Linked DNA regions of Caenorhabditis elegans. The protein of the gene in region 2 purifies or fractionates together with the protein of the main gene of each other region. This does not show direct contact. Each region holds a gene or a part of one and is shown on either strand. Other genes may lie near its edges.

Region 1 (16,850 bases), about 10 Mb from region 2:
TTCAGTTTTTTTCAGTTGAAAAATAGTTTTTTCTTCTCTTTTTTCAGTTTATTTGAGGTATTTTTCAGTTTTCAAGAAAATTTCCAGCTTGTGCGATTAAAAAAATTTCAGTTTCCAAGTTTTTAAGTTTTTCAGTTTTTTTTCAGTTTTTAATGAAAAAACATTAAAACTTTTTTTCGGAAAAAAGGAGAAATTCTTAAAACCGAGAAAATTTTGTTTTTCGATTTTTTTTTTGAGTTTTTTGAATGAATTTTGATAAATTAGAATTTTTCAAAAAAAGTTCGAAAACGGGAAATTATCGGAAAATTTCCGTTTTTTTTTTCAAAAATCGACCCATAATCTTTTTTTTGGAATTTTTTTTCTAATTTTTCAGCAAAATAAAAGAAATTCTTACCCGACCAAACGGTAGCGAGTTTCTCATTAAACATATACTTAAATCCTTCGTCAACGAGTTGATGGGACCGGCAAAGTAGTGAAAGATCATTATTCATTAGGAATTCTTCTGTCACTTTTGCTCCGAACACCTGCAAAAAAAATTAATTTTAAAGTGGAAATTCCAAAATTGACAGGGCTGTCGTATTTTTGGCAAAAAAAATAAAGGTTTTTTCGGACCAAAAAACAAAAAAAACTATCAAGTTTCAGTTGGAAAAAGAAAAAATCCAAATTTTTTTGTTTTTTTTGCCCAAATTCGGCAGATCAGTCAGTTTTCTTACAAATCCAGCTCCTCTTTGACTAATCACCCAATCTTCGACGTCATCATCCGGATCCGACCACATTATGTCACATAGAGGACCCTGCAAATTTGGAAATAATTTATTTAATTGAAAATTTGAGTTTCTCCATTTTTTTTTAGTAAAAAAAAATAATTTTTGAAAATTTCCAGTCATTTTCATATATTTTGAGTAAATTTTCTAATTTTTCGTATTTTTTTCGCAATTTTTTGAAGAAAAAAAAACGAGAATTTTTCATTTTTCGGAAAAAAAAAATTTTTTTTGCAATCGAAAAGTTAATTTTTTAATTTTTTATGAGAAAATCCAAAGAATTTTAATAATCTTTTTTTGGATTTTTCAAAATCGAAATTGTTCATCTTTTTGAATATATTTTAAGATTTTTCTCATCAAAATCATTATTTGATAATTTCGGTTTTTCAAATTTTCTCGGTTTTTTATTCAATTTTTTAAAACAAGACTTTCGTATTAAAAAAACAATTTTTTTTTTCGTATTTTAGAGTAAAATTCTCCAAAAATTCCCGAATTCTCGATTTTCTCATTTTAATCTGCATATTTTTGATAAATTTATAGTTTCTCGTATATTTTTTCTCAATTTTCGGATTTTCTTCCAAGAAAAATGAAACTTTTGAATAAATTTATATTTTTTATCTCTAAATTTTCAATGTTTTCCAAATAAAAACATTTAGTTTTCGATTAATTCCGGTAAATTATTTATTTTTCGATTAATTTTTCACGATAAATTAAAATTTCCAACCTTATTAGGAACTTCTTGAGCTCTATCAAGTAACATAAGACTATCAATTGTTCGAATATCAGGTGAAAGTCCTCCATGTACACACAGTACTGATTCATCAATTAAAGCTCCAATTGGAAGAACGTCGAATACCTGAAAAAAAATTAATTTTTAGTTTTTTAAACTGAAAATTTGATGAAAATGGTGAAAAAATACCTTTTCGATACAATTATCGGCTAAAAATTGTATTTTTCGACACGTAATCTAGTGCTTGAGCACTTTAAGAGCCAATTATCCCGTAAAAACTCGGATTTTTTCCGCAAAAATTGACAGTAAAAAGTTATTTTCGTCATTTTTATTCTACAAAATCACCTCTCGTTTAAAAAAATAATTTGAAGCGATTTTCGAGAAGAACTTTGGGAGCTCACGGAGCATTTTTAATAATATTTTTTGGAAATTTTCCATTCTGCAGATTGAAGGTTTTCTTTAAAAAAACCAGAAAAAAATCGAGCATTTTTGAGTCCAAAAATTGCACAAAAACTAATTTTGATGGATTTCATGTTTTTTTGAAGTTTTTTAAAAAAGAAAATTACAGAAAAACAATTTTCCGGAAAGTTTATATGAAATTTTTAATTTTATAAAAATTCGACTTATTTTTAGCTTTACTTTTGGAGCCATTTTGAAACGAATTTTGAATTTTTCAGCCAATTTTTCAGTTAAATTTTTAAAATTATCAGAAAATCGCACAAAAATCATTTTTTCATGAATTTTCGCGTATAATTTCGCCAAAACGTTGAATTTTTAACGATTTTTATCGCTTTTTCTGCACGACGAATTTCCAATTTCCATTCAATTTCCATCGCTTCCTTACTTTACAGAACCATTTGTGCACATTTCCGTGTCCATATTTATTCTGACATTCATCGTAGAATCCATAAACATTGGAAATTCGACGAGATTCATGATTTCCGCGGAGCAGTGTGATTTGATTCGGATATCTGCAAATTTTGGAGTTTTTTACAGAAATTTTGGTAGGAAAAAGAATCAAAAAATACTTGAGAAGAAGACAAAAAAGCAGTGTAACAGTTTCCAGACTGTAATGTCCTCGATCCACATAATCTCCCATGAATACGTATTTTGTGTTGGGAACTGTGCCGCCTGTAATGAGAAAAAATGGGTCACGTCACGATTTTTTTTTGTCATTCAAAAAATCAAAATTTAGATGAAAAATCGCTTTGTACTCCCCGAGGAGAAGAATTTCAGAGCTTTTTGCCGAATATATTTTTGTCATTTCTTACTGAAAAAATTCACGAAAAAAGGTTTTTTTAATCGAAATTTCAAGCTTTTTGGATAAAAAAAAAACGATTTTTTCAAACTTTTTTTTTTCAGAAATTCGTATAAAAACTGTTTCTTTAAGGATTTTCGCCTGAAAAGTGGGGTTTTCAAGATTTTTAACGATTTTTCAGTCGAAAAAATCAAAATTTAAATGAAAAATCGTTATGTCGATTTACGCAGCCCGTGTACTCCCCGAGGAGAAGAATTTTAGAGTTTTTTTTGCTGAATATATTTTCGCCATTTTTTATTTAAAAAATTTACGAAAAAAAGTTTTTTTTTCGAAATTTTAAGCTTTCTGGATTAAAAATATCGATTTTTTGACTTTTTTTTCAAGAAAATCGTATAAAAACTGTTTTTTAAAGGATTTTCGCATGAAAAAAAGTGATTTTTTCTAGATTTATACCGATTTTTCGGTGAAATATTCTAAATTTAGATGAAAAATCGTTTCGTGTCGATTTACGCAGCCCGTGTACTCCCCGAGGAGAAGAATTTTAGAGTTTTTTTGCTGAAATTATTGATTTTCGACGATTTTTCAAATTAATAAATTTAAACGATTGTTTTTTTTTCAGAAAAACTTGAAAAAATTATAAATTTTCAAATTTTGCACCCTTTTTCCACAAAAAACACTCAAAATTGCCAAAATATTTGAATTTTTCACATAAAACGTCGCCAAAACTTCTTCTTCCGTCGAAAAATCGAAAATTAGCTGTAAAAATGAATTTTTCGAGTTTTTTTCATGTTTGAAAACAGAAAAAAAACCGTATGGCCTCTTCCACGGCCCTGTGTCGATTTACGCAGCTGTGTTCTCCACGAGGAGAAGTGTATCACAATTTTCCGGCTAAAATGCTTGATTTTTAATTATTTTTTCGCGATCTTGTTGTAAAAAACACTTAAATCGCCATTTCTAGGCGAAAATCTAGGTTTCTATTGTTGAAAATATGAAAATTCTTCGTTTTTAGCAGTAGTAAAATACTTTTCCATCTGAAAAAGGCAATTTTAATGTTAAAAAAGCGAAAAATGGCCCGAAAACAGTGAAATTCTCCTCCTCGAGGAGTACACGAGCTGCGTAAATCGACACATTATCGATTTTTTCGATTTTCCGGCAAATTTTCGAATTTTTCATTCAACTTTTGAATTTTTCATTCAATTTACGAATTTTTTTATCCAATTTCTCGATTTTTTTTTGGCTAATTTTCCGATTTTCCCGGAAAGTTTCTCGATTTTTCGGCTGATTTTTTGAATTTTTCATCCAATTTTGTGACATTTCCAATTCGAATCCGATTCCGTACCAGTTTTGAATAATTCGAGTAAATCATAAAATTGTCCATGAATATCTCCACAAATTGTGACAGGCGACGAAACGGGCACCACATTGGCTTCCAGTGATAGACGATCGATTAATCTGAAAAAATGTTCAGTTTTTGAGCCGAAAATTGCTGAAAATTGCTTTTTTCTTACGTTGCACAAAGAGCAACAGCGTCAGATTCGGGCAAGTATTTGCATTCGCTCGCCCACGTAATCCATTGCTCCGGCTCTATTTTTCGAGATCTGGAAATGAAAAAAATTAAGTTTTGTATAATTTTGGAGCTGAAATTTAAGTTTTTTTTTAGAAATTTGCAAAAAAATTCGAAATTTTTCGCAGAATTTTTCAATTTTGAGTAAAAAAAATCAATTTCCAAGCTCAAATCGCCTAATGTAGATTTACGCAGCTCGTGTACTCCCCGAGGAGAAAAATACTAGTTTTCGACTAAAATGCTAGATTTTACATTTTCGCTGTTTTTTAAAAGTTTAACGTTCAAATCGCCGATTTTTCGCTTTTTTGGTAATTTTTATGCTGAAATTCAGCATTTTTAATATGGAAAACTGCTGGAAACGATGATTTGTAGTCGATTTTCATTTAAAATAATTAAAATGACAATTTTAATGTTAAATTGGTCAAAAATTGAGCATTTTCTCCAAAAACTATAAAAATCTTCTCCTCGAGGAGTACACGAGCTGCGTAAATCGACACAAAGCGATTTGTGCTTGGAAAATCGCATTTTTCGCTTGAAATATCCAAAATTTGGTACCCAATAAAATGCGTTGTGCTCTTTTCGAGCTCTCCTTCATCGCACACTGTCACCCGAAGAAGGTTTGTGTCGATCATTCTGAAAATTTTACGGTTTTAAATGAAAAAGAAGCTTTTTTCCTGTTTAAAATTAAAAAATATATGAAAAATGGCTGAAAACCTATCGAAAAAGTGGAAAAAAGGGAATTGAAACTCAAAAATTGTTCATTCGAATCCTATAAAACGGCGGGAAAAAGTGATTGGAGTGTGATGAAATAACGGAAAAAACAGAAAAACAATAAAAATTACTAGCTATTCAAAAAAAAACTACAAAAAACCGGAAAAACATTAAAAAACCAGAGGAAAATTAAAAGAAAATTATTTAGAGACGACTCCAACTTGAGCAGGCCGAATTGGACGTTCTTTCAGGCTGTAGCCGATCTTTGTACACACTTCGATATGTCCGACAGGTTGTTTGGCCTGAAAATGGAGGAAATTAAGCATTTTGTGGCATTTAAAAAGGATTAAATAAGCCCAAATTGTTCAAAAAATACAAGATTTGGCTCTTTTATTTCGGAAAATTCGGGCGGTTAGCACTAACATTAGCAGATGGAATCTGGAAAACGGCTTCGTGGAGATTGGGGTCGAACTTTTCATTGGTTGGATCCACGGTCACAAGGCCATGCTTTGCGAATGTCTTTGCCATGACAGTACGGGTCATTGAAACTCCTTCGAAAAGATCTTTCAGAGCTTTTCCTCCCGATTCCAGATCTTCTGGCTTCACAGACTTGACGGCAATGTCGAGAATATCGGAGACCTGCAAATTTGGAATTATTTTAATTGTTTTTCGGTTGATTTTGATTTTAAAAATCGAACCTCAAGTAAATCTTTGCAGAATGATTGGATTGCAAAAACCTTAGCATCGTCGGTTTGCTTGATACCTCGCCGACGAACATTTTCAGTTTCAGCAAGCGATCTTTGATATTTATCCTTAAAATCCAAGCTTTCGGCCTGCAAATCGTCGTATTCCTTGAGAAGAACATCAAAAGCACCCTTTGGAATCTGTGTCTTGTCCTCGCCGGCAATCGAAGTAAGAACAATTTCTTCATAGTCGGCTCCTGGTTTTTTTTTAAATATTATATCAGTTTTTAGAATTTAGAATTTGTTTTAGAGTAAAAATCGCTACCTCTGAGTCTCTTTCCGTCTTTTCTAATCTCATAATTGACTTCTTCCGATGATTGTGATGCCGTGGCGCTGAATCTTTGAATGCGCAAGTTTTTCTGAGTTTTCCTGCAATGAAAAAATTTGATTTTCACCGTTATTCAAAATTCAAGGAACTTACAGCGTTTGTTGAACAGCCTGGCCGACGAAAGACACTCCTTTGCGCAGCATATTGTCTGAAATTGCCAAAATTTGAAGAAATTAGGAATAAAAAACGAAAAATCGGCGGAAATTGGTAAAAAACGAAGAAAAAATTAATAAATTTCATCATGACAAGAAATGCGCCAGCACATGACTCAAGTGCGCCAGTAACGTGCTGGCGTGATTTTCGTGCGTGTCTGCGTCTCCATGCTTTGCACACTCTTTTCGAGGAGTTTTTAAGCGGCAATTTAAAGTGGAAAAGGGCAAACTGTAGCAGTTTTTTCTTAACTTTTTCTGCAAAAATCTGTGTATTTCCGCAAAAAAACACAGCAAATCCAACAAAAAATTTATTATCAATGCTCTAAAAGCCTTAAACACAAAAAAACCAAGATTTGTCACTTCTTATGTTCGCGTTCTCCATCAAAATCTGGTCGCTTCGGTACAAATCGATATTTGACAATTTTCGAATCATCTTTTCCATCAGTCACAGGTTCCAGGTGAGCTTTCGCGAAATGCGGTGATGTGACTGGAAATCTGGAGCATCCTCTGAACGTGACGCTTTCTCTGGATTTCACGTAACTCGGCGCATGTCGGCGCTGACCTTTCCATTCTGGGGGACGCTGAAAAAAAAGTATGTATTATTGCAAGTGCGCTCCAGTAAACTGAGCGATTCCGGCTGTCACTCACTCTTAAGGCATTCAAAGCACCCGGACTTGGAATTGCATATCGAGCTGGCTGGGCTATTGGTTTTGGCACATATCTCGGAGCACTTGTGCTGGTAGATCCACTGGAAGAGCTGCTGATTGGCTCAACACGAGATCTGTAAAGAGTTGAGGAGATATCCGGCATGTCAAAATGATCTGATTTCTTCGAATTTTCGGGCGGTGCAGAGCTTCCGGTGGTTGAAGAACTACTTTGAACTTCTTTTGAATCAAATATATTGTGAAGTGCTGTGGCAATGTCGGGCATCTGCAATAATTTTCCATTTTTGCCAGTTTCATATTCAAATTACCGCCAAGAGACTTTGTTCAATAGAGCGCGCTTGCATTATTTTAATTTTTGTTTTTTTTTTCTCATCAATTCTCTGAACTTCTTCATTTTTTGTGAATTTTCACTGAAAATTTGAATGAAAAGTCAAGATAAATGCAAATTGTTCATTAGCTTTTCAAATTTTCAGTAAAAATACACAAAACATGAAGGAATTCAGTGAAATAATTAGGACAAAAAAACAAAAACAAAAAATAATGCAAGCGCGCCCCATCGAACAAATCGTCTTGGCGGATTTTTTCATTTTCAAAAGTTTTTTATTGAAAAAACCTTAAAATTTGACTTTTTTTTCCTGAAAAATTGAAAAAATCGATACTGACAGATTGGCAAAATTTCGCGGAATTTTAAGTAAATTTTTTAGCAATTTTTTTCGTTATAACTAACAGGAGATTTCTGGCTTCCGAGAGCTCCATTATCTTTCTTTTCTGACTCAAATCCTCCAATTGTACTCGAAGAACTATTCATTTCGTCCGATTCCACCACCACGTGAGATTTGTAAGGCGTTGAGGAAATATCCGGCATGTCAAAATGGGCTGATTTCTTCGAATTTTCAGGAGTTGCAGAGCTTCCAGTCTTCAAAAACGAGCTCATTCCTTCTGACTGAGCTTTGTAAGAGGCTGAGGTGAAGCCTTCTGGCTTGATATAGCGAAATTCTGGTCTCTTAATATATCCTGGAATAAGCTTCAAGTTCCTGGAGTTACTTTCCGAGCTAAAATTGAATGGTTTTCCTGAATTCACCACATATCTAACTTCTCCAGTGTTCAGCTGATCCGAAATTTGTGTTCGGCCTGGAGGGCCTGGAGATGCTGTGATGGGCTTTCTGGAGCTGCTGCTGGTGCTTTCAAAATAGAACGGCTTCCCATAGCACGCAGAACTTGTGCTGGGCTGATCAGGCTTCAGATATTTCGCTAGAGGACTTCCGAAGTCACTTGAATCTTCCCCATCCTGGGTTCTGTCAGACATCAATGAAATATCCTCTGGATTTATCAGCTTTACATCAGGCTTCTTCCTTGGTGTAGGCTTTTTGATGCCGACTTTTTTTTCGATTTTATCAATTTTCCATTTCACTTCCGACACGTCTTTCCGACTTTTCTGCAGCTCTTTCTTGAATAAATCTGCGAATTTCCACGAATTTCGAACTTGAATCGATTGGTTTGAAATTTGTGATTCTTTAGCTTTGTTCTCCTTCATTAGTTTAACATTTTCTTTTTGAATATTCACAAATTCCACTGAAAACACTTTAATCTCATCCTCTCGCATTGTCAATTTCTCCGTTAACGCAGCTTTTTCTTTTTCCAATCGTTCAATTGTTCGTTGTAGATGTACAATAAATTGGGTTTGATCACCACGAGAAGATGGATTTAGAGTGATTGAATTCGATGTTGATGGCGTGTTTTTCTGAAATTTAGAGAAAAATTGAAAAAAAATTATGGAAAATTTAGTTTTTTCATGATTTTGAATTATCGGCGAATTGCCGGAATTGAAAATTTCAGGCAAATCAGCAAATTGCCGGAGTTTAAAATTTCCGGCAAATTGGCAAATTGCCGGGATAGAATTTACCGGCAAATTTCGGGCAAATCGTCAGATTATCAGGAATTGTAATTCCCGGCAAATCGGTAATTTGCCGGAATTGAACATTTCTGGCAAATCGGCAAATTGCCGGAATTGAAATTCTCGGTTTTTAAGAATTTTTCGCAATTTTTTGTTTGCTTTTTCGGAATTTGTTGAGAACTTTTTTTCGGTTTTTAATAATTTTTCACAAGTTTAAAAATTTTTTCATAATTTTCGGGATTTTCTTGAATAACAAAATTATCTTTAAAAATTTAGAACAACAAATGGCAAAAAATCTGGAAATTCCTTTAGAAAATTTGTAATTTTTTCAGCTCAAAAATAGAAAAATTCCAAAAAATTTCTCATTTTTTGCTGTAATTGTTCCAAAATTCCACCCACATCATCGTCTCGTTTTCTTTTCAATCCAGCTGTATTTATATAAACAAATTTTGGAGGAAGCGGATTTTTTGCAGGAACTGATGATAGGACTGGAGCATTGACACGTGGAAGGGCTTGTGTTTTAACAATTGTTCTTTGAGATACCTGGAAATAAAATTATTGAAAAAAATGTGTTATTCAATTTTTTTTTAACCTTTAATTTAAATTGAATTGAATTAAAATTTTTATTTAATTAATAGAAAAATAAGATTTTTTTAATTTTGCAAAATAATTTTGAAAATGAGCTGAATATATTTGAATTCCCGCTGTTTTCAGGCATTTTTCTACATTTTTAAAAAGTAATTAATACCAAAAAATAACCCCGAGAACCAACCCTTGGAACAATTTCTGTTTTCACTTGCTGTCTGACAGGAGATGAAGTAGATGCAGTTTCAGAAGTTTTCATGAGATTCTGTGAAATTTTCGCCTGGCGGGCAATTTCCAAGTTCGCTACCCGAAAATTGAATTTTCTAGGCTGCGGCGGAGAAGGATTCTGAAAAATGGAGATTTTAGGATTAAAAAAATATAAATTAAATTACCACGTTCAGAGGCTCCGCATCTTCCACAATATTTCCAGCATTTATCACAGGATCCTGCACATCAATTGGCTCTGGAGCCACATCTTGCTCCGCTTGTTCAGCTTCAAGACGGGCATTTTCAGCCAATTGCTGCTTCCTCTTTTCCCGAATCGCTTCCAACACTCTAATTGATGCTTCCTTTCGTTTCCTTTTGTTGTACACCTGAATTTGAAAATTTTTAAAATATAAACTAGAGTAATTCAAGAATATACCTTTTTTTTCGTCATCTTTGCACGTTTTTGGTGATTTCTCAACTAAAATAAATTGTTTTTACTTGGGAAAATGCAGATCTCAGCAGAAAAATAGAAAATCGAATGGAAATTTAGCGAAAAAACGACTCAAAACCGTTTTCAGCAGCCGATTGTTTTTGTTTTACACACGTGCGGTGGAGCGCGCTTGCATCGCGCAAAAAGTCTGCAGACACCGTGACGGTAATTCACATACTGGGTACTGTAGTCAGTGAAAAAAAAAACAACACATTTTAATTGACGACAATTCGTAAAAATTGAAAAAATGTTTTCAAACTGGGTTTTTTGAAAATTGTAGAACAGAAATTGTGAAAATTGTCAGTTTTCATTTTAAAAAAAATCAGAGAAAGTCTAAACTACCGCATTTTTTGTAGATCTAGGCAGATCAAACATGGGACACACTGACACCACGTGCTTGAGCTAATCTGTAAATTTAAATGCTTTCTTTAAAGAAAATATAAATACTCCAACCTCAAATCTTCCATCAATTTATTCTTCTCATTTTCCAGATGTGCAATGGTGGATTCAGCTTCCTTCTCGATGCGATTCACCGTCATGGATCGACACTCGAAGCAATCCACGTCAGGAGAATCTTCAGTGGTAAGCTTCCAACTTTCAGGATCCCACAGCCCACAGCATACACCGTGTACAGACTTGGAACAAGTCTGACAGTCCACTTTGCGCCCATTGTATGAAGTTGCCAGTTTCATAGTCTTGTCCTTGAAAAATCACATCGCTGCTCTACACGGCTCGGATGGTGACTTGTACCCGTTGACTTGGCGATTCTTGAAGTTTTGAACTATCTGAAGAGCACATTTTGTTCCTGAAAGAAATTCTTCCAGCTCCTCCAGTTTTTCAGCTCTATCATTGACTACTGCCTTCGAGATCCTGGTTTTCTTGATGTCACCCCTTTTTAGTTGCATGGACCTGCTGATCGACTGTCCTCGTAGCGAAAAGCACTGCATGCACTGATAGGTACTGTTTCCTCCCTCATGACCAATAGCATCGCATTGGAACTTCATATCTCCCCCAAGATACTGCTCCACAGGTACATCAATGTCCTTATCGCCTACTTTTATCTTTAGGAACAATAATCGATTGAGTTGTTCAACGATGGGACCTAGATACTTTCGAATGTTTTCACTGCTTTCGTCATCATTGAAAATGCCAAGTGGAATTAGATGGAAACAGCTGTTAGGTTGGGAGACATTTCCAATTGACAAACATAACTTGAATTCTTCTGATCCTTTATCGCCGAGGATCGTAAGCCAAATAGGATCGTCTCCAACTACCATCTTTCCATTAGCAACTAATTCATTAATCCTTTCAGTTAACATTTTGACGACGTCGAGCAGATGAACGGCGACCACGGATTTACCGTCAACGGTATGCTCGGTGACCTTTAATTGATCCGAGGAGCCAACAACTTTCTCCAGCTTTTTGATCTCATGAATAGATGGCAATGGATCGATACATCCACTTCCTCGCAGCATTTGTTTCAACTTGGTGAATCGTCTTCTCGTGAGGTTGCTGGCGTGATAGAGATATAATCCTTCCCTCTTTGACATCTTCCATTTCAGAAGACCCAACTTACTCAATCTTCCAAGAAGAAGGCAGTAAAATTCAGAAGCTTCGCCGCCTAAAATCACTTTAAATAACTGTATTTATAGGTATTTCTCACCACATCGCTGAAGTTCAGCTCTCGCTATCTCTATTCTCCTAAACTTCTCGCTCCTGCTGATGAGATTTTTGAATTCAGTTTTGAAAGGTGGCCGTTTCCCTGCTTTCAGGTCCCGAATCATCTTAACATCTTCCACTTTTTCCACATCTGCCATTCGTAATTCATCATTTTTTCCTAAAAGTTGCCGATCTAATTCACTTTTTGCAGTTTCCAAACGACGGTTTTCAGTTTCCAAAACTCCTTTCTCCCGTTTCAACTGCGAACTCTGTTTCATCGTTTTCAGTTCTTCTTGTACAGCCTAAAATATTATCTATTCCAGCAATTTCTTATCTCTATTATATACCTTGTACTTATCATTCAACTTTCCCAACTTTTCAGAGTGCTCTCCATTAAGCTTATTCCTAATTTTTTTCAGTTTTATTTCAGCATCTTCTTTCAAAAGTTTTGCATCGCTCACGTCCCTTGTCAGCTTTTCATTGTCTTGCAAGGCACGTTTCAGGTCGGATGATAAAGATACACCAAGCGGCGTCGTCATCCTAAGCGGCGTAGACATGGCTTCCTGTTAAAAAATGTCACTTTGCCCAGAAAATTTTTGCATAGATTCCTTGGAGGTGTCCTACCCTTTTTAAAGCACAACAATATTTAATAACATTTATTATAGTATAAACAATTTAACTTTTCAGGATGACGAGGATGGTCGGCATAGATCGATGGCGAGGATGGTCGGGATGCATCAATGACGAGGATGGTCGGGATGGACGGCTCGCGACAGGACCGGTACCTTCGAATCATTTACTATTTTTTTTCAGGTCATTTTTTAGTTATTGTAGACCAATTTCGAAAATTAAACCCCGTAGGGCATTTTATTCTTCCAGATTCGTCGACCCTCCGAGCAGCTCCAACAGCAACAACAATGGCTCCAACCTCCCCAACCGCTCCAACAGTAACGACGAAGAAACGAATAATCTATAAATGTATTGTAAATAAAATATTGATTAATATTTTTCTGTCAATAAAAAATACTTTATTTCAAATTTTTTCTATAAGTTTCAAACATTTAAATTAATTTTCAGGCTTTTTTCAAATTAGAAAATAGCGGGCGCAGTTTCGCTCGCTATATTCTGGACTGCTTTAATAATTTTTAATATTATTTTTCAAGTTTGGGGGAAAATGAGAACCGCGAGCTCATCAGCAGTATGTTCTCCTTTTTCCCCCAAATCTCACCAGCTTGTTCGATACATCTTTCCGATTCCTCTTGGAAGCGATCCCAACAAACCGAGCAATTGCAAGTTAAGAATCATATTCGACATCGCTTCCTCGTCCGCTGCGAATTCGTCATCTGTCTGAAAATAACAAATTTACACTTGAGAAATAATTTTCTAATATCAATCGCATTAACAAATTTATTTTATTGTTTATTCAAAATAAAAGCGAGCGCGGTTTCGCTCGCAATACTGGACTGCACTCTTTGAATTTAAATTAGACTTTTTTGCAATTTTACCAGAGAAGAAAAGGAAACCGCGAGCTCATCAGCAGTAAATTTCCTTTCCTTCTCCAAAATTTACGATCCATTTTTCGTGATTTCTTGAAACTTTCATCAGCGACCACAGCGTTTCAGTTTATTTCACTCCAATCCATTTCATCGATCCGGCAAGACCCTTTTCGTTGCACCTCCGCCCGATTTTTTTAAATATTTTTCTGAAAATTAAGTTGACGGCAAGATAAAAAATTTATTATTTATTTTTCAACAAAAAATTAACTTTAAAAATGGCAAAAAGCTATATTTTAAATGAATGGAAGAAAATAAAATAAAATCACAATCTCTCGTAAATCCTGCCCGCTTGTCTGCCTTTGCGCGTCAATTCGCGTGTTTGCGGCCAATACACCGAAAAACACCGATGAGACAGCTTGACTACACGTGAACAAGGAGAATCCTGTTGCGAAGGCCCCAGTCCCACAAGTCAAGGCACGACGGATCACTTCCGTTTATCAAGTAGACAAAGTAAGGAAGTTCGTGGAGAAAGCGGAAGAGGCGAGACTCATAGTAAAGAAGTTGGGAGAGGAGATTCAGAAGGAGGAGGAGGATCTTCGGAAGGAGGATGATGAGCTTTGGAAGAAGAAAGTGGAGACTCGGAAGGAGGATGAGGGGTTTCGGAAGAGGAAGAAGGAGTCTCGGAAGGAGGAGGACAAGTCTCCGAAGAAAAATGAGGAGATTTGGAAGGAGGAGGACAAGCTTTGGGAGAAAAATGATGAGATTTGGAAGAAGGAGGTGCAGTCCCGAAAGATGATGGAGGAGATTCGGAAGAAGAAGGAGAAGCACTTGGTGGAAAAGGAGAGATGGACCAAGATGGAGGAGGAGCTTGAGAGGGTAAAAGAGCGTGAACAGGTAAGTATTTTCATTTGGAAAAGTAACTTCTCTGTTTAACATAACTTTATTTAAGAAAGTTTTCGCGGGAATCAAATTTTTGAATCAACTTTTAGTGGGAATTCGTAGTTTTAGTTTTTTCTTTAAAAAGTGTTTCGAGAGTACAAAATTTCAGGCGTTTTGTGTAATTTCTCCAATTTTTGACGTGATTTTTATAGAAAAAGGAGAGCAGCCTGAATAATTAAAGGCGGAGCCTTTTTTGCGGTACTGTATGCCTCACTTTTTGAAATTCAGTAAAGATAGTGATTTTAGCTGAAAATAACTTTTTCTCAAAATTTTAAACGATCATAACTTTTCACAAAATTCGGTAGTTTTTGGGTATAACCTTTAAAAAAATACCAAAGAAAATGAACACGTACATCCCAAACACTTACAGGAGATCCTCGATAAGCTTCCTGGATTGAAGCTCCAAAACCCTGGTAATTCATGCTTCCTCAACGTCGCTATCCAGATGATGCAGAAAGCTGGATGTGGCCGTCACTTCAAAAGGACATGTGAGACTCCAATGCACAAGCAGCTCAAATGGATTTTTGACGGGAAAAAAGAGACGAAGGACGCTACAGTGCTCCGCAGCCTGCTCTCTGATAAGACGCTCAAGACGGGTGCACAACGACCGTTCAAAGCCTTCAATGCTCTCATGGAGGTGAGTAATAGATACTAATAATTTATTATATTTATAACTACCCGAATGTGCCGGTGCATTCGCTATATTCGACGCGCAAATATCTCAGAAAAAATCAGTGAATTGTCCATAAGTAGAGGATAAAAAGGAAACCGCGCTAAAAGTTGATATTCTGGCGTCGAACTTGGTGAACAAGGGTGTCGTTTTCGAATTTTCGGTTATTCACGGAATTCTGGCTTCCCTCATAAATCGAAATGGCAGAGTTTGCCGAACTAGGCCATTTTGGGTGGGAGAGATTTTGTGTAGATTTACGGTGCGCTGCGTGTCGCGTCGCGGCTCGTTTTTAGTTGTAAAACTGATGTATTTGTCCGCGTGGAGTACACGACACTTGTCCACGCGTTGTCCGGCAGGCGATTGTCAATGGAGCGCGAAAAGTCAATGAGGAAGGCCAGAACGAGGGGGTACGTTTTCGTAAGGGGATTTTTTCGTAAGGAACGCTTTCAGTAGGGCAATGTGCGGCGCGCCTTTTCGCAAGCCCGCCGCACAGTCCTTCGCAATGCGCCGCACGCTTCTTCGTATTTATTTATTTATTTTTCCAACAGGAAATTTCTAACGGAATTCAATTAAAAACGGATTTTTAATGGAAATTAATTAGTTTTATTCGAGCTAAATACGGATATTTTCAGAATTTTCGATGACAAAAACGGGTTTCAATCGATTTCGAATCGATCAAAATTAATATTAATCGAAAATGAGCGTTTCCTTCCCGGAAAAAGAAGAACTTGATGCTGAGAGTGATCCAAGCGGAGCCAAACGCTTTTTTAGAGGCAAGTATTGATGTCTAAAGATTAATTGAAGAGTGAAAAGTATTTTTCAGCGTTCGACAGGGATCTAAAGAAGAAAAGAAATCCGAAAGCGTCTGCTACAAATGTATGTGAATCGACTCCTGCAACAATCGATCTGGTTACTCCACCTGCATCACCACGTCGGTCTGATTCGTATATGCAGTTTCCTTCAAATTCTCGAGAGCTCGATGAGCCGAGATCCACTGACGATATCCCGGAATGCGATTCAATAGCCAATTCTACTCAGGAAACAAGCTCGGATACAACAGATTCCATGGCAAATACTGAAAAATTTTTTGATTTTGATCCAGCTGTATTTCCCGAAGAAATGGATCACGATCTACAGGAAACCAGTGAATTCAATCTTCTGTGTAGGTCTTAACTAATAATTAAATAGAAATAACAGACGTTGTATTTTAGGTCACAATTCATATCAATCTCCGTTTGAAGACGAAGAGACTCCATACCATCCGGATTGGTTTTTGACAAATAGGTTGTTATTAATCAATAACTCTATCAAAATATAAAATTCCAGCAAGTCACACGTATTACGTTCTCTGATGCACTATAGACCGATTGCCAATAGCCCAAGAGGGGTGCTTGAAATGGCACCGGAATATATCAGCGAGAATAGTTCAGATTTTTGGTATGCCTTCTAACTTCTAAAACAATTAAACATAGAAACTATGCAATTTCAGTATTTCGACGAAACGAGGAGCTCCATTGGTCATTTTCAACAATCAAAGCTATCGTCCGAGAGAAAAACTGAAAAATGGGGACATTGTGGCTAGGTGAATTATCGCTAGGAAAAAATTGTCACACATTTCATTAATTTATTTCAGATGTAACGTTACACTGGAAAACTCGAGAAAGTGCCCCGGATCCGTGCGTATCAAGACTGAGACAGGCCATGTGAAAGTCAGTCGTGATTGTGATCACGAATCGAGGAGAAGCGAAATTGCAGTATACTGAAATTTACGTTTTTCAAAACTAAATTTATATTTTAGGTGCAATTAATTATGAGAAAAATCGCAGTTTCATCAATGTCTTCTTCACCATCAAAAGAACGCCTTTATGAGCTTGCTGTTACACTTTCAAAAAGATATGAAGTTGTTGAACTTCTCAAGAGCAACGTAAATAATAAATCGTGGAATCAATAAAACATATACTTTTTCCAGAAAGAAATCAGTCGCATACTGGACGGTAT
Region 2 (16,367 bases):
CACTTTTAAGTTGCTTCGCCACGTCACCATCTCCAAGATTTTCGCTGAGATTGCCACTTCTGCCAGCTTCCGTCAAGACCACCCAAACTGATTCGGCCACTTTCTGATCGGCAATTAGGTTCCAATCTGTAATAATTATTAATTACAAAAAATGAAAATAAACAAATAATTTAGAAGCAATCAAATTCAACGTTAAATTTTCTGATTTTTCTTACCATCCATCGTTGTGACCAAGATCTCCGCCAGTTTCTCCAGCACAATTTTGTCAATCTTCGAATTTCTCAGGAACTTTTCGGCTTCTGCCAATGTTGGAGCCATTTATCTCTGAGATTTGGATAAGGATAAAGGATGCAAAAAATAAATTTTGAAATTGAAATGCAATCCCGCTCCAACGGCACATGAAAACGCTCCACCACCAAAAATTGGGTCTCGTTAGGTAAAAAAAAAAGCGGCAGAATCATAATATCTAACGTTTTAAGACATTTTTCTTAGTTTTTGTTATGTTTTCAGTTATTTTTAAATGATTTTTTATGTCGAAATAATTATTTAAATTTTTTTAAATCCATGCGTTCTCATTTAGCGGTGGAAAGCTTTTACACCTCGATTTTCGAAAAGACCAAATTTTCAAAATATAATATTGGAAAGATTATTGACCAAATTAATAAAAATAAACGCATATCAAACATCGATATTTATTAAAAGAAAACACGGGAAAAACAGAAAAAACTCTACAACAAGGAATCCTAGAAACGAAAACGAAAAATTCTACTATGAACAAAAATTGAGAAAAGGTCTGATTTTTCAGAAAGTTTTACCGGTGAACAAGAAAAGTAATAAGAATGTTTCTACTCAGTTTTGGCATTTTCCTCTTTTTTCTTTTCTTCTTTCAGTTCAATTCGTCCAAACTCTTCGTCTATCCGCTCTTTTGCACGGAATACCTGGAATGAATACAGGTTAAATTATAATTCAATAGACTTTCTCACTTTGCTCTGCAAATACAAAGTTCCTCCTTTCGATTTATCGTTGATATTGAACAAGTGTTCGTAGTGTTTTTCGACTTCTTCTCGATTCAATGGAGTTTTCACGTTCAGAATTTGCAAGGATTCCTGGAAATTTTTATTTTTAATCATTAATTTGAAGAGCTTTGAGTTTTCTACAACTTACCTCTAATGAGATACCCAATTTTGCATTAGAATTCGCATTTTCTCTTGTTTCACTTGCAGATTGTCCAGTGGAGGCGGCGTGACGAGCAGCAGCTTGTTGGGTTTCTGAAAAAATGTTAATTTATATTTTTTGAATAATTTTCGACAACTTGCGACAATTTTGGACAACTTTCGACAACTTTCGATAATTTTCGACAATTTTCGATTGGTTTATCTGCAAAAAACTCACGTTTGATCTCATCTCTTACGGCTCTTGTGAGCGCTTTTGCGACTGCTTCTCCAGCGGCAAGAGCCACTTTCAGTGCAGTTCTCCACGGCATTTTCGAACTAAAAAATAATTATTCAACTATAATAGAAGAAATTTAAAAACAAATATATATGGAATTCCGCGAAATCCAATAAAAATTCACAAGAATAATAGATTTGCAAACAAAAAATCACATTTATTTTTTGAAATTTCTACAAAATAAATAGAGCTCTGCACTATTGTCACGACATGCTGTAGGTTTGACCGTTTTGACAGTTGAGAATCGATCGGAAAGTTCACGGACGAACTCGGCACGTGCACTTCCATCCCAAATCTGGAAAAAAAAAATTATAGTCAAGAAGAATTATTATTAATTTCAGCGAACCTTGCACAAGTAAACTCCATTCTTCACTAATTCAATTTCATTTTCCACTGAAAATAATCGAAAAACGGATCGGCACAGCTCGATAAGCCTCAAGTGATCCGTAGCGTTATCTCCAGTCGGATTTGGTGCCATATCACTTAGAACAACATCCACTTGCCGATGTGCTAGTTTTTCTCGAATTTTCAGTTTCACTGCTGGATCGGTAATATCGGAGAGTGATAAGATGTCGGCACCGCGGATTGGGAGAACATTCTGTAATAATTTGCATTTTGAAATTGAAATGCAATCGCGCTCCAATGCAAGATGAAAAAGCTCCGCCCCCGGAACGTGGGTCTCGTTAGGTATTTGGCGGCGAAACCGGAAATTCAAAAATTTTAAATTACTTTTCAAGCATTTTCCGTCGTGTATTTGTTCTTTTATTTTAATAATTGTAAGCCAAAATGGGTGACAAATGAAAAAAAAATTATTCACTTTTAAACAAACTACTTAAAATTCTTGAAAACTAGCGAAATCGGCAAAAAACAAGAAAAAACTTTTTTTATTTCCGATTTTGCAGTCAAATACCTAACGAGACCCAACTTTTGGGGGCACAACGTTTTTTTTTCTAAAACTAATTTTAATAACTTACTTGTAAATCTACACCCGATGCATATCCATTTGGACACTTCTGCACAACTACTTGAAGCCATGAGCCAGGTGCACATCCAATATCGATTACAGTACTCTCCGGTTTCAGAAATTTGAATTTCTCATTAATTTCGATTAATTTGAAGGCGCTCCGTGCTCGGTAATTGTGCTCACGAGCTTTAACCGCAAATTCGTCTGTTGATTGCCGTTGAATATATCTGAAATTTAAATTTGAAAAATAAATTTATATTTGATGGGGGAAGAAAACTCACTTGTGCAAATTTCCTTGTGATTTTTTCGTTGAGAACATCCTGACACTTTTGAACATTTTTTTTCGAATTCTTAATCACTAATTTTTCAACAAAAAAATAAATTCCCTGAATCTAGATACTTTTCTGGTGATTTTTAAATCTAACCTATGAAAATGAAAATTTCGACAAAAAAACTAAATAATTTTAAACACGTTTTTATTCGAAACCTGATAGATAGGCAACTTTTAATATCACAAAAACTTTAATCTGGATCTTTTTTTGGTTATTCTGGAACTCTGAGGCATTCGTTAACAGCGTGCATTAGTCCTTGATTTTCCATTGCAGCAGCTACTCGTTCCTAAATGAGACATTTTGAATTTATGTTTTAAAAATTAACTTTTTGAGGGGCTTGCTTCTAAACTAAAAAATACAATGTTTTAAATTTTTTTTGAATTTTTTTATTGGTTTATTCGGAAACTTCGGTCTTATTTTCTATACTTTAAAATTTAATTTCAAAAAATTTCGAAAATAAAAAATGCAAAGTATAAAAATAGACCGAAATCTCCAAATAAACCATTAAAAAAATTAAATAATTTTTAAAATGATTTTTTTGCCATTTTGCAATCAAAAAATTCAAATTAATGTTTTCAGACGGTTTTCAGCATAAAATATTAAGAAGAAATGTTGAATTATCGAATTTTGGCGAATTTTAAAGTTTTAGTGATTTTTTTAAATTTTTGCGCAAATTAATGCCCGAGTTTTGAAATTACGTTTTTTGGCAAATTATGATTTAAACTTTTTTTTCAAATTTTTTAGACATTTTCTAGCAAAAAAAAAAGCTAATTACATAGTTTTTAAAAATTTTTAAAGTCGTTATTTACTATTGATTTTTCCTCATTTTACATATTACTATAGTTCGAAACAGTTTTTTGCCAATTTTACAGGCGTTTTTCAGCAGAAAAGTCAATTTTAGAGTTTTTTTTCGATTTTTTTGCAAAAATAAATGGTTTTTAAATTATATAGATTTTACTATTTTCATCAAAAATTAAAAACTTACCTTGTCGGCCAACTGCCTGTTAATTGATTCTTCCGTAGAATGTGATCCTGGAGTGATTGAAACGCTAACTTTAACTTTCGGATGCAAAGATCTCAAAAGTTTCACTCGAATCGCCAAACCGATTAGTGTTGCCATACTGCAGTGTGGAATGGTTGGTGTGAAATTCACCTGAAATTTTTTTTCAAATTTAAAAAAAAATTAATTTTAAATTACCAATCAATAATTTTCTCGCAATATTTTTCATTAAAATTTAGTGATAGAAGGTAGAAAAAAAATATTTGTTTTACCTGAAAAAAGTTTATTTCAGTTGGAACAATTGGGAAACGCTCAAGAATTGTCTGATATTTGGAAAAATCAATTGTTCCAATTTAAATAAAAGCAAGATAAATCAACTTTTTTTATCAATTAAATCAGTATATTTTGATTAAATATATCAGGAGAGCCCTGCATTGCTGAGACCAATTTTTAATATTTTTTCAAGCGCATTTTTTTCACTTTTTTCCAATCAATGCTGTAGAATTTCTGTTCAAAGATTGGAAGCTTCTTGGAAATGTTTTGTAAAAAATTGTAAAAAATTTTAAAGTTATTTTAAAATTAAAGTTACCTTCACAAAGGTCTCTTCTTCGTCGATAAACACTTTGATAAGCTCCTCTTGAACCACATTTAACTGCTCGAGAGTATATGGATGCTCTGGATCGTTGATATCTCTGATCAGATCGAAAATCTCCCACGAATCGATTGGATCTTCGACGCTTTCATCTCTGGAATCATATTTTTTGAATTAAAAATAATGTAGTGGAATTGAGAGCCAATTTTTACAAGCGAAACAACACAAAAAATTCATTTTTCGATGTTTTCTATTTTTTCAAGGAAAATCAAAAACTTAAAAAAAACTCAGCAGAAAATTCTTTTTTTTTTTAAATTTAATTTTGTTTAAATAAAAACGTCTTCTAAACAGAAGAACAATTATCAGAATTTTTAGCTAATTTTAGAAAAATCGAAAAAAAATTCGAAATATTGGAAAATCGAAAAATCTAAAAATCAAAAAACGGAAAATTTTCGTTTTTCGATTTTATTTTTTCGAAAATCTAAAAACCGACACTTTTGACACAGATGTTCTGGAGCTTCAAAGTGTCAAAAATTCATCTCCTCTTCCATTTTACTGGAATTTTTTATTTAAATGTTTGGATTTCATGCGATTTTTCGTATTTTATCGTGTTTTTGTTAAATTTATTATGTTTTTCGTTTAAATAACAGGTAAAAAGCGTTTTTCTTGATTTTTCTGTGTTTTCAATTTAATAATCGAAGTAATTACGTTTCAAACTATAAATTTTCATTTGAAAAAATACGAAAAATGGCTGAAAATTCGAATTTTCAATTTATTAATTCGCTGTTTTTTTGCGGAATTTTTTAAAAATTCTGTACTTTATTTATATAAAAACTTAACCGTGAAAATATGCTCTTTTTGAATTCAAAGTAAACTTTTAACGATTAAAACTTGATTTTTGCGTTAAAACCCTCCAAAAACCAACCTTTCAGTGCCAGTAACAGGTCGATGACGTGGTTTTGAGTCGAAAAGTGTTGGATTTGCATTGTCGAGACGTTCTTGGCCCATTTTTATGTGATATAAGCCTGGAAATTAAGCTGGAAATGGAAAATGACGAAAAAATATCGGTGGCCTAGTGGCCGTGGAAGAAAAAACAATACATATGTAGTTTTTGGCGAAAATTTAAATTTGAATAATTTTTTGTTGCAATAATTTCCAGAGATATAAAAATTTGAAAAATACTTTGAGATTTAAAATCAAAAATTTATAGTTAAATTTTTAAAAAATGTTTATTAAATTCGATTCAAAATTTGGAAAATACAAGAAAATAAGGCAAAAAATCACAAATTAAAACAATAAAACCGCGTAAAAAATGGAATTTGGTCGGTATGTGTGTGATGAGAGTGAGATGACGAAACGAAGCACGCAAAATGTACAAAAAATTGGATAAAAAATCAAAAAAACTACACAATGAGATCCTCTAAATCTGATCCAACATTATCCAAAAGTCGTTGCTTTTTCGAGCTCCCAGAGCTCACGATACTTGTTGTTGAGCCGAGCAGTGAGCCAACTTTTGAGCTTAATATTGATAATTTTGAAGAAGCAGCACCTCGAAAAACAGCCGAATCGTCTAGGCCTCGATGCACTTGAACTTGGAAAGAGCCCGATTCGAGGAACTTCTGATGTCGTTTGAAGCTCGTCGTATAGAGATTTGCAATCGTTGGTTTTCGGAAGTTTTTGAGTAAAAGTGAAGAAGAAACCACGGAGACACTGGAAAGAGCCATTGCAGCTGCAGCCATCCATGGTTGAAGCATGAAGCCAAATGGGCGGAATACACCTGGAAATTTGGAAAATTATTAAAAGTGGATTGTTTTTTGTTATTGGAAAAATAGCGTTTTCTAGAAAAACAATATTTTCTTCTTTTTTTTTCTCAACGAAAATCAACGAAAATTTCATTAAATTTTGAATTTTTCAAATTTTCCAGACAAAAGTAGAAAATTTCCGTTTTTTTCTCGAAAAATAGCTTCAAACTTAAGCTATTTTTCTTTTTTTTCAGAAATTTTTTTTCTTAAGTACTTCTCAACAAGATAAACCGAATTTGATAAAATTTTGAATTGTTTAAAAATTTTCTAGACGATTTTTCGTTTTCCGGGTATTCGAAAAGTCGAAAAATTTTGATTTTTTTTGTTCGAAAAAAAATTACCCGGGTTTTCGAAAAATAGCTACAAATTTTGACCAATTTTCTTTTTTCAGAGAAAATATAATTTTTAAAGTTTTTCTCTTCAAAAAAAATTGATATTTAAAATTTCAAATTAAAAAAATGTTCTAGACATTTTTTTTCAATTTTTTCGTTTTTCGGAAAATTGAAAATTTTTCGACATTTTTAACACTTTTTATTCTACCATTTGAAATCGGTTTTTTTGTTCGAAATAACTTTTTTAAAATTCACCTGCAGCAATCGGAATTCCAATCGCATTATAAATGATTGCAAACAAAAAGTTCAATCGAATCCTTCTCGTCGTCATTTTCGATAGCTTAATTGCTCCAACAACATCCACAAGATCATTTCTAACAAGTACGATTCCAGCTGACTCAATTGCCACGTCACTTCCTGCAGCAATTGCGATACCAACATTGGCTTCTGCGAGAGCCGGCGAGTCGTTGACACCGTCTCCAACCATTGCAACTTTGTTTTTGTATCCTTTCAATTGCTTAATCTTTTGTTGCTTTTGATTTGGAAGAACTTCTGCGAATACTTCATCAATTCCGACTTGTTTCGCAGTTGATTCTGCAGTTTTCGAGTTATCTCCTGTGAGAAGTACGACACGAAGACCCATTTCACGTAGAGTATAGATTGCAAGTGATGCTTCTTTTTTAACTTGATCAGCAATTGAAATTACAGCAACCACTTCCGCTGAAATAGTTAATTTGTCAATAACTACAGCTGTTTTGACAGACGAAATTGACTTTTTTCATTAAAAAAAAAGGATTTTTTCAGTGGAGTAAAAGAATTTTTAAAGCAAGATCCAAGAGCAAGATCCAAGACCAAGAAAAATATACTAGTTTTTTTTTGGTTTTTCTTTGGAAAAAATGACTTTTTTGAGTTTTTGGACCAAGAAAACAGTTTTTTTTTCAAAAATTGTAAATTTTACTTGGAAGGAGAAATACAATTAAAAAGTGTTTTGTTTTTTTTTGGTCCAAATTTCAAATTTTGTTAAAAACGGCGAACATTCAGCAAAAATCTTTAAAGGCAAGGTAAAAATTCCCTCCAAAAATAAACGAATGATTCATTCAAATTCAAAAGAGTGTACGCCTTTAAGGATAACTGTAATTTATTGAAGAAGCGAAAAGTGAAAAAGGAATACACAAAATTTTGGGAAAAAACTTTAGCAACTACAGTAAGAAAATTTGTCGTGTCGAGAACCGGGTACCGTAGCTTTCGAACAAAAACTGAAAAATTTTGGTTCTGAACACTGAAATTTTTAAAATTAGGTGTTAATATTGGGAATTTTAGCGAAATTTTATTTTTGAGAAATATTTTAATTTTCCAATAATTTCCAGTCACTTCTTGATTTTTAAATAAATTTGCTTGTTTTTTTTATCGTTTTCCGATTTTTTTTGATTTTCTCTGAAAATCAACGAAACAAAAACTTACCGTTAATTGCACAAATAACCGAAATGTGTCCTTTTCTCTGTTCTTCTGAAAGTGTCATTTTCACAACTTCCGATACGGGAATTCCGTGTCTTTCCATCATTCTTTCGGTTCCAATCACAATGTTCGCAGTGTCCGGGTTTGGTTGGCTAACTTGAAATTATATGAATTTATATTCATTTATAAATTAAAAAGACTACCTTCTTTACTAGAAACTTGAAGTAAATTGACTTCGGTTCCAGGAATCGTGATAGTTTGACCATCAGGAAGCCTTGGAATTTCACAAGTAGATCCAGAAAGTGCCAAAGACGAGAACGACTGCCGAATTGAGTCAATTCTACAGGTAACACCATGTCCAGCAGATACATGGAATCGGGAAGTGTTCGGCCAAGTTGGCTCATTGAGAAGCTGAAAAAATGGATTTTCTTGTTTTTTTTCAGTTTTTTTGGCAAAAATTGATTTTTTTTTGTATTTTTTTTTGGTTGGTATGATGAGAAAATCGAATTTTTTTTGTTTTTTTGTTGGCAAAAATGGATTTTTTGTTTTTTTTTTTTTGGTTTTTTTTTGTTTCTTGATTTTTTGTTTTTTTTTTCGGCAAAATAAATTTCTGGTTTTTTAATAATTTTTTTTTTGCAAGAATAGATTTTTTTTTTGGTTTTTTTTGGTTGGTATGATGAAAAAATCAAAAAACTTTTTTTTTCCGTTTTTTTTTGGAGAAATCCGATTTTTTGTTTTTTGATCCAAGTTTGAAACAATTTTTTTTCGTTTTTTTGGTCGAAATATTTTACTCTCTTTACTCTTAAAATACCTGTTTCGCAAAAGCCGCTACCGCATTTCCAATCGGATGCTCCGACAAAGCTTCAGTGGCTCCGGAGAGGAATGTGATAAGTTTTAGTGACATTGTAGATGGATTTACAAACGACGCAATTTGAACTACTCGTGGACGTCCTTCGGTGATTGTGCCAGTTTTGTCGAAAACAATTGTGGTTACCTGGAAAAAAGAGTGATTAAAAAATTTGAGATTTGATAAATATTGCTTTTTTTGTTCATATTAAAGATAATTTTGTTAATGTTTCGATTTTTCTTTTTTATTTATTTTTCCCTGAAAAATATCGAAATTCGCGGTTTGAAAAATGGATCTTTCTTTATTTCTCGATTTTTTTTCGTTTTTTCGTGCAATTTCTGATTTCACACTAATTTGGATATATTATATCTTTAGTGGCTTCGTGAAATTTTAAAAAAATTATTTTCTGATATTTACGAGTGAAAATAAAAAAATGGTACTCTAAGAAACAAGGTTTTTTTTCTGGGAAGTAAAAACATCTAAATTTTTGTTTTTCGATGTTTCAAAATTTCGGTTATGTCTCTTCTATTTGAATTTGAAATAAATATGTTTTTTAGTGTTGTTAATATGAGAAAATGTTTAAAATTTTGACAGTGACATCCAAATTTCTAAATCCGAACTCACTTTATGTACACTCTCCAATGGTTCGCCTCCTTTAATCAAAATACCATTTGCTGCTCCAACTCCAGTTCCAACCATAACAGCGGTGGGCGTTGCGAGACCCAGACTACAAGGACATGCAATTGCAAGTACAGTAATCGCAGCTTCAAATGCGATTTTCAAGGCTTCTTCGAATCGAAGACCGGGTGGCTGGAAAAATACATGATTTTGATTAAAACTCGGGCTTTGGCTTTAAATTTTAATTTTTCAAATCGAATTTGCAATATGCAATAAAAATTTTTTTTTTTAAAGCTGATCTTGGAAAAGCCAAGATCTTGGCGGGCTTTAATTTGGGAAATTTAGCAGCGAGGAACGAAATTCTCGATCTTCTTATTTACAGCTCTTTTTGAAAATTTTCAAAAGCACGACAATCAATTTTTAAAGATCCAACTGAAAATTTGCTCATGAATTTCTTTCTTTGCTGCTAAATTTATAATCATAAATTCACGTTTTCGAGCATTCTGAATCCAACTTTATAGTATTTAATCTATTTTTCCCTTACCAAATTAGCATTTCTCGCCGAATTGTACTCAATATAGATCCATACTCCCAACGTGAACAACGATAATACAATGACAAACGGGACAAAGTATCCGGCAATTTTATCGGCAAGTTGTTGAATTGGAGCACGATTCGTTTGAGCTTCTTCGACGAGACGGACGATTTGTGAGAGTGTAGAATCATTGCCAACGTGTGTTGCCTTCACAATTAGAACTCCTTTTTGATTCACCGAGCCACCAATTACAGTACTTCCTAGAAATTATTGTTGTGAAAAATAACTTACAATTCGGTTTTGAACAGAAATGTTCTTTTTTTGGATTTTTTAATGACAAAATAATTTTTTTGAATTTAAAAAATAACGAAAAAAGTTTATTTTCGAAATATTTATACAGTCGTGAGCATGACTGTAGATTTTTCGAAAAAATAGTGAGCAAAAAACGCGAGAAATTTCGACATGAATGTTTAAATTTTGCATTTTTTCCAAAAAAATCACACTGATAATTATAATCAAAAATTTATAAGTTCTTCTAAATAGCGTTTCAAACTAAACATGTTTTGTTTTTTCGTGTATTGGCTAGAAACATTTTTTTTCTCGTTTTCCAAATGAATAATTTTTTTCTCAAACAGTTGAAAATTTTAAATTTTTGGTGATAAATGTTCGATTTTGTTATGGTTTTGCAGAAATTTAAACGAAAAATGTTTCTTTTTTTTTTCGTTTTTTGATGGAAACATTGATTTCTCGCTTTTCTTCAAGAAAAACTAGGGAAAACGCGAAAATTTGGAAATTTTTTCTAACTTTTTGTTTGTAGCTTTCAAAAAAACGTTTAAAAATTTTTTTTGAAAAACAGACCGTAACCGTTTTTTTTGTGTTTTTTGAAAAATTTCAGGAAATTCCGAAAAAAAAATTTGCAACAAAAATCCGAATTACCTGGTTTCTTAACGACAGGCATCGATTCTCCAGTTATAAAACTCTCATCAACCGAACTTTTTCCATCAACTACAACTCCGTCGACTGGAACTTTAGCGCCAGGAACCACTTTAATCAGGTCATTTCTTTGCACTAATTCAATATTTATTCCTTTTTCAGACGTTAACCGTCCTTCCGAATCCATTGTGACAAGTGTAGCTTCTTTTGCTTGTAATGACATAAGTTTCGATAAAGCTTCAGATGTTTTCCCCTTTGCTTTATGTTCCAGCATTCTTCCAAGTGCAATAAATACAATTAACATTGGTGGAACATCGAAAAATGTCATTGGAGACGACGGCCATTTGAAAATGATTGCGAGGAGAAGAACTACGATTGAATAGGTGTAGGCAATGGTTGTGGACAGCATTATTAGTACATCCATATTTGCATTTCCATGTTTTATTGCTTTCCATGAGGCTACGTAGAAATATCGACCGCCAAAAATCTGCAATTTTCTTATTGTCAATTTTTTAAAAAACTAAGAAGAAAATATTTTAAATTTTACCTCCAGAACAGGGGTGTCGGTTTTTAGATTTTTTGAAAAGCGAAAAAGTTCGTGTTTCTCCGATTTTTAGTTTTTCAATATTTCGAATTTTTTTATAGACTATTCTAAATAAAATTCTCTTAAAATTTGTATCATTAGTCTTATTTTTAGAGAACATTTTTATGTTTCCTTATGTTATTTTCCCATTAATATACACGAAATTAAATAAAAAAGCGAATTTTATGGTTTATTTTCTAAATTTTTTTCCGATTTTCCCGGAAAAAATTTTAAAAAAACGAACGAAATTTATTCAGATTTTTCGATTTTCCATTTTTTTTTCCTAAAAATTATAGTCGATTTTTTTTTGCTTTTACTTCCGTGTTTTCGGAGGAAAATTTATTTTTTCGCAATTTTCGAAGAAAAATTTTTATAACAAAAAAACAAAATTTTAGTCCTAAAATTATACCCGAATTTGTTTTTATTGGGTTTTTTGAAAAAAAAAAATTTTTTTCGTGTTTTTGGCCAAAAAATTATTTTTTCAATTTTTGAAAAAAAAGCAAAAAAAGAAAATAAATTTATTAGCCTGTCGATAACTGGAAAATTCATAAAATTTTAAGTTTAAGCTCTTTTTTCTTAAAATTATAATTGAATTTTTTTCCTTTTTTTCGTGTTTTTCATGGGAAAATGTTATTTTCAGAATTTTTCAAAACATATTTTTTTGGTAACTGAAAAATATTTTTTGGCTACTCCAAAAAAACTTCTTTTTATTGGTGTAAAACTGAAAATTCTCACCTGAACCGGTGTGCAAAGACATAAAAGCAGAAAGTTGTCAAGTGAAAGAGCTGGAGTGAAAATTGGTGTTTGTTTGTCTGGATGCATTGGCGTTCGGAGAATCCAGTGAAAGATTATCATAATTATCATTACAGGGACTCCGAATATTAATGCGATGAAGAAAGTGTTACGCCATCTGAAAATACCGTTATTGTGAATTTTTGCTTGAAAATAGTCGGAAAAAAAAAAATATATACCAGCCGCTGACCGCGCCTACGGCGCGGGCAACGACTGGCACCATTAAAAGTATTTGACACACATACCTTCAATCACTCAAAAAATTTCTCATCATGAAAAAAACTTGACACACTTAAACGCGGTTTACTGGCACTGTTACACGTATTTTTCTACGACATGCATGTTTCGAAAATTCACAGACAGTATGAAAACGTTCTGTTACTTTCTGACCAAGACAGTAACCTTACAATACCACTACAGTACCTTGACATTATCCTCCACCGACTCCTAACTCAATACCTCTTCAAAGGACGAAATGCCAATTTTTCCAAAACTACAGTAACCCTACCGTATACCTACAGTACCCCTATAGTACCACTACAGTACCTTGACTTAATCCCCCATCAACTCCCAAATAACTACCTCTTCTAAAGCTCTAAGCTCAATTTTTCGGAACATTCCAGAATTTTCTCGATTTTTCTAGAAAGTTCTAGAACATTCCAGAATTTTCCCGATTTTTCTAGAAAGTTCTGGAACATTCCAGAATTTTCCCAATTTTTCTAGAAAGTTGTGAAACATTCCAGAATTTTCTCGATTTTTCTAGAAAGTTCTGGAACATTCCAGAATTTTCCCAATTTTTCTAGAAAGTTGTGAAACATTCCAGAATTTTCTCGATTTTTCTAGAAAGTTCTGGAACATTCCAGAAATTTCCCGATTTTTCTAGAAAGTTCTGGAACATTCCAGAATTTTCCCAATTTTTCTAGAAAGTTGTGAAACATTCCAGAATTTTCTCGATTTTTCTAGAAAGTTCTGGAACATTCCAGACTTTTTCCGATTTTTCTAGAAAGTTCTGGAACATTCCAGACTTTTCCCAATTTTTCTAGAAAGTTCTGGAACATTCCAGAAATTTCCCAATTTTTCTAGAAAGTTCTGGAACATTCCAGACTTTTTCCGATTTTTCTAGAAAGTTCTGGAACATTCCAGAAATTTCGCGATTTTTCTAGAAAGTTCAGGAACATTCCAGAATTTTCTCGATTTTTCTAGAAAGTTCTGGAACATTCCAGACATTTCCCAATTTTTCTAGAAAGTTCTGGAACATTCCAGAAATTTCCCAATTTTTCTAGAAAGTTCTGGAACATTCCAGACTTTTCCCAATTTTTCTAGAAAGTTCTGGAACATTCCAGACTTTTCCCAATTTTTCTAGAAAGTTCTGGAACATTCTAGAAATTTCCCAATTTTTCTAGAAAGTTCTGGAACATTCCAGACTTTTCCCAATTTTTCTAGAAAGTTCTAGAACATTCCAGACTTTTCCCAATTTTTCTAGAAAGTTCTGGAACATTCGAGAATTTTTTCGAAATTTCCAGAAGATTCTAGATTTCCAGAATTTTAGAATTTTCAGAAAATTTAAATTTCCCGCAAAAATATTTTTCACAGAAAATTTAAATTTCCCGCCAAAATATTTTTCTCAGAAAATTTCAATTTCCCGCCAAAATATTTTTCTCACAAAATTTAAATTTCCCGCCAAAATAATTTTTTTCAGAAAATTTCAATTTCCCGCCAAAATATTTTTCTCACAAAATTTAAATTTCCCGCCAAAATAATTTTTTCTCAGAAAATTTCAATTTCCCGCCAGAATTTTTTTCTCCGAAAATTTAAATTTCCCGCCAAAATTTTGGGGGTTACCCCGGTGGGGCTCACCACGACGGGTCTCACCACGGTGGGTCTCGCCACGATGGGTCTCACCACGATGGGTCTCACCACGATGGGTCTCACCACGGTGGGTCTCACCACGATGGGTCTCACCACGATGGGTCTCGCCACGATGGGTCTCGCCACGATGGGTCTCACCACGATGGGTCTTACCACGATGGGTCTCACCACGATGGGTCTCGCCACGATGGGTCTCGCCACGATGGGTCTCACCACGATGGGTCTCGCCACGATGGGTCTCGCCACGATGGGTCTCACCACGAAGGATGACAGACCCCGCCCACAATTCTCAGTGACTTTGGGTGTGACGTCACAGACTACAAAGACTACATAGACTACAAACTATGGAACAAACGGAATTATTTTTTTATATATAAGTAATGATAAGTAATGATATATATTGAAATTGAAAATATGACTTCGACAGATTTTCTAATTTCTTAATTTTAATTACCGCGATTATTTCTCTAAGTAAGCTACGCCCTTTTTTCTGTGCCGCACTCTGGTTTTCCTTAATTTCGACAAAAATTATGAAAATTATTTATTAAAAAAGTATATTTAAACCCGATATTTGGAGAATAATACATTTTTGATTCATTTTCTGTTCTGAAAGCGTGGTAATTAAAATAATTTGATTAGCCAAATTGAATATTTTTCCAAAACCAGTGGGTTTTTCCTAATTATTTTTTTAAGTCACGATTTAAAGGTGCAGTAGAGGCAAAAAAATTTTTTGCTTCAAATGACAGAAAATGCACCCAAAGAACCGAATATAACTGTAAAAAAATTTTTTTTTAATTTCTAAATTTTTTATGATTTTTTTTAATTTTTCAAAAATCAAAGAAACGGCTGAATAAACTTGAATTTAATAAATGAGTGACGTCATTTTTTATATGTTCGCGTTTTCTGGCTAAATTCGTCGGTTTTTCTCAATTTTTTTTTCTATATTTGATTTGAAACACCGTTTGTCAATTATTCAACCACTTTTCCATAAAAAAAAACTTGATAACCCTAAGGAAATTGCCAGAAATGGCAAAATTGGCCTAAAATCCGCAATTTAACATTTATTATTAATTTTTTTTTCAAAATAACTATTTTAAATAATTGACAAACAATGTTTCAAATCAAATATAGAAGAAAAAATTGAGAAAAACCGACGAATTTAGCCAGAAAACGCGAAAATATCAAAAATGACGTCACTCATTTGCGCGGTAATTCAAATTTATTCAGCCGTTTCTTTGATTTTTGAAAAATTTTAAAAATCATAAAAAATTTAGAAATTTTTAAAAAAATTTTTTACAGTTATATTCGGTTATTTGTGTATATTTTCTGTCATTTAAAGCAAAAAAATTTTTTGACTCTACTCCACCTTTAAAAAAACACCAATTCTCACTTTTTAACATCGTCCGAATGATCCAACCGCTTCATTTGATCATCTCGAGTAGCTAAATCTGCGGTGAAACCAAGTGATTCGACAACATTTATAATATCCCTCGGACCAATAACCTGTGGAGAGAACTCGACAAGAGCCATTGATGTAGCAATTGAGACATTACACGAGTCAATTCCCGATTTTGAAAGTACATGGGATTCTATTCGATTCGCGTCGCTTTCTGTGGAGAGATTGCCGATCTGAAATCATTTTCATATAATTTATACGGATTAAAAATTCGATAACTCAGAAATTGCCGACTGAAAATTTTTACTGAAAATTTTATAACACAGAATTGGGGAGCTTTTTAGGTTTTAGAAAAAACCGCATTTCTTCACTAAACTTTTCGAATTTTAAGCTTGGTAATTACCGAATTTCCTAAAATTTTCGAAAAAAAAAAACATATATTGCCAGTCAATATTTGAAAAAAAATTCTAGAGAATTTCAAAGCCTATGCAAATTGCCGATTTGCCGATTTGCCTAAAAATTTCAATTCCTGCATTTTGCCGATTTGCAGGAAAAAATCGTTTGCCGCCCACTATGCCATAGAATAAATTTTTTTTTGATTTTTTTTCAATTTTTCGAACGAATTTCAAAAAATGTCGAAATTAAATCATCCATTTGCGCGGGAATTTAAAAATTGTTCAGCGGTTTGAACTTTTTTGCTAAACTTTCTCAAAAAATGATATATTTTTGGGCAATTTGAGTATGTTTGGGAATTCAAAAAAAAAATGTTTTTGGTACCAAAATCCAAAACTCACAATCAACCGTATCTTGCTATAATTCGGATTAGCTCCCATAGAATCCAGAAGAGTAGCCTTATATCCAAGTTCTC

Evidence for each region.
Region 1: the proteins of F45G2.8 (region 2) and C34C12.8 fractionate together in Caenorhabditis elegans (co-fractionation; one large-scale study listed by BioGRID). This does not show direct contact.

Annotation. Positions count from the first base shown.
Region 1 is NC_003281.10:3,449,799-3,466,648, reverse strand, and holds C34C12.8 (GrpE protein homolog, mitochondrial), read right to left. Parts: upstream 6,244-16,850; 5' UTR 6,239-6,243; coding exon 6,189-6,238; intron 6,137-6,188; coding exon 6,033-6,136; intron 5,965-6,032; coding exon 5,723-5,964; intron 5,664-5,722; coding exon 5,448-5,663; intron 5,327-5,447; coding exon 5,225-5,326; 3' UTR 5,059-5,224; downstream 1-5,058. Other genes in the region: pph-6 (Serine/threonine-protein phosphatase 6 catalytic subunit), read right to left, coding at 395-524, 714-794, 1,486-1,617, 2,336-2,462, 2,520-2,622, 4,089-4,201, 4,258-4,347, 4,869-4,945; C34C12.2 (Fibronectin type-III domain-containing protein), read right to left, coding at 6,604-6,828, 6,896-7,177, 7,640-8,653, 9,206-9,349, 9,579-9,737, 9,784-9,984, 10,035-10,049; C34C12.1 (Autophagy-related protein 14), read right to left, coding at 10,799-11,709, 11,752-12,049, 12,095-12,304; C34C12.12 (Transposase), read right to left, coding at 12,717-12,717, 12,976-13,094, 13,317-13,349; K01A11.3 (USP domain-containing protein), read left to right, coding at 14,036-14,137, 14,553-14,819. UniProt on the Caenorhabditis elegans protein: Essential component of the PAM complex, a complex required for the translocation of transit peptide-containing proteins from the inner membrane into the mitochondrial matrix in an ATP-dependent manner.
Region 2 is NC_003281.10:13,434,181-13,450,547, forward strand, and holds F45G2.8 (Mitochondrial import inner membrane translocase subunit tim-16), read right to left. Parts: upstream 1,491-16,367; 5' UTR 1,484-1,490; coding exon 1,393-1,483; intron 1,269-1,392; coding exon 1,165-1,268; intron 1,107-1,164; coding exon 984-1,106; intron 939-983; coding exon 846-938; 3' UTR 681-845; downstream 1-680. Other genes in the region: F45G2.7 (COMM domain-containing protein), read right to left, coding at 1-126, 216-318; F45G2.9 (rRNA methyltransferase 2, mitochondrial), read right to left, coding at 1,607-1,744, 1,796-2,047, 2,424-2,640, 2,695-2,732; ciao-2B (MIP18 family protein F45G2.10), read right to left, coding at 2,957-3,031, 3,731-3,898, 4,335-4,491, 5,263-5,345; cua-1 (P-type Cu(+) transporter), read right to left, coding at 5,741-6,114, 6,727-7,191, 7,933-8,082, 8,130-8,337, 8,738-8,920, 9,398-9,583, 9,936-10,186, 10,863-11,346 and 3 more.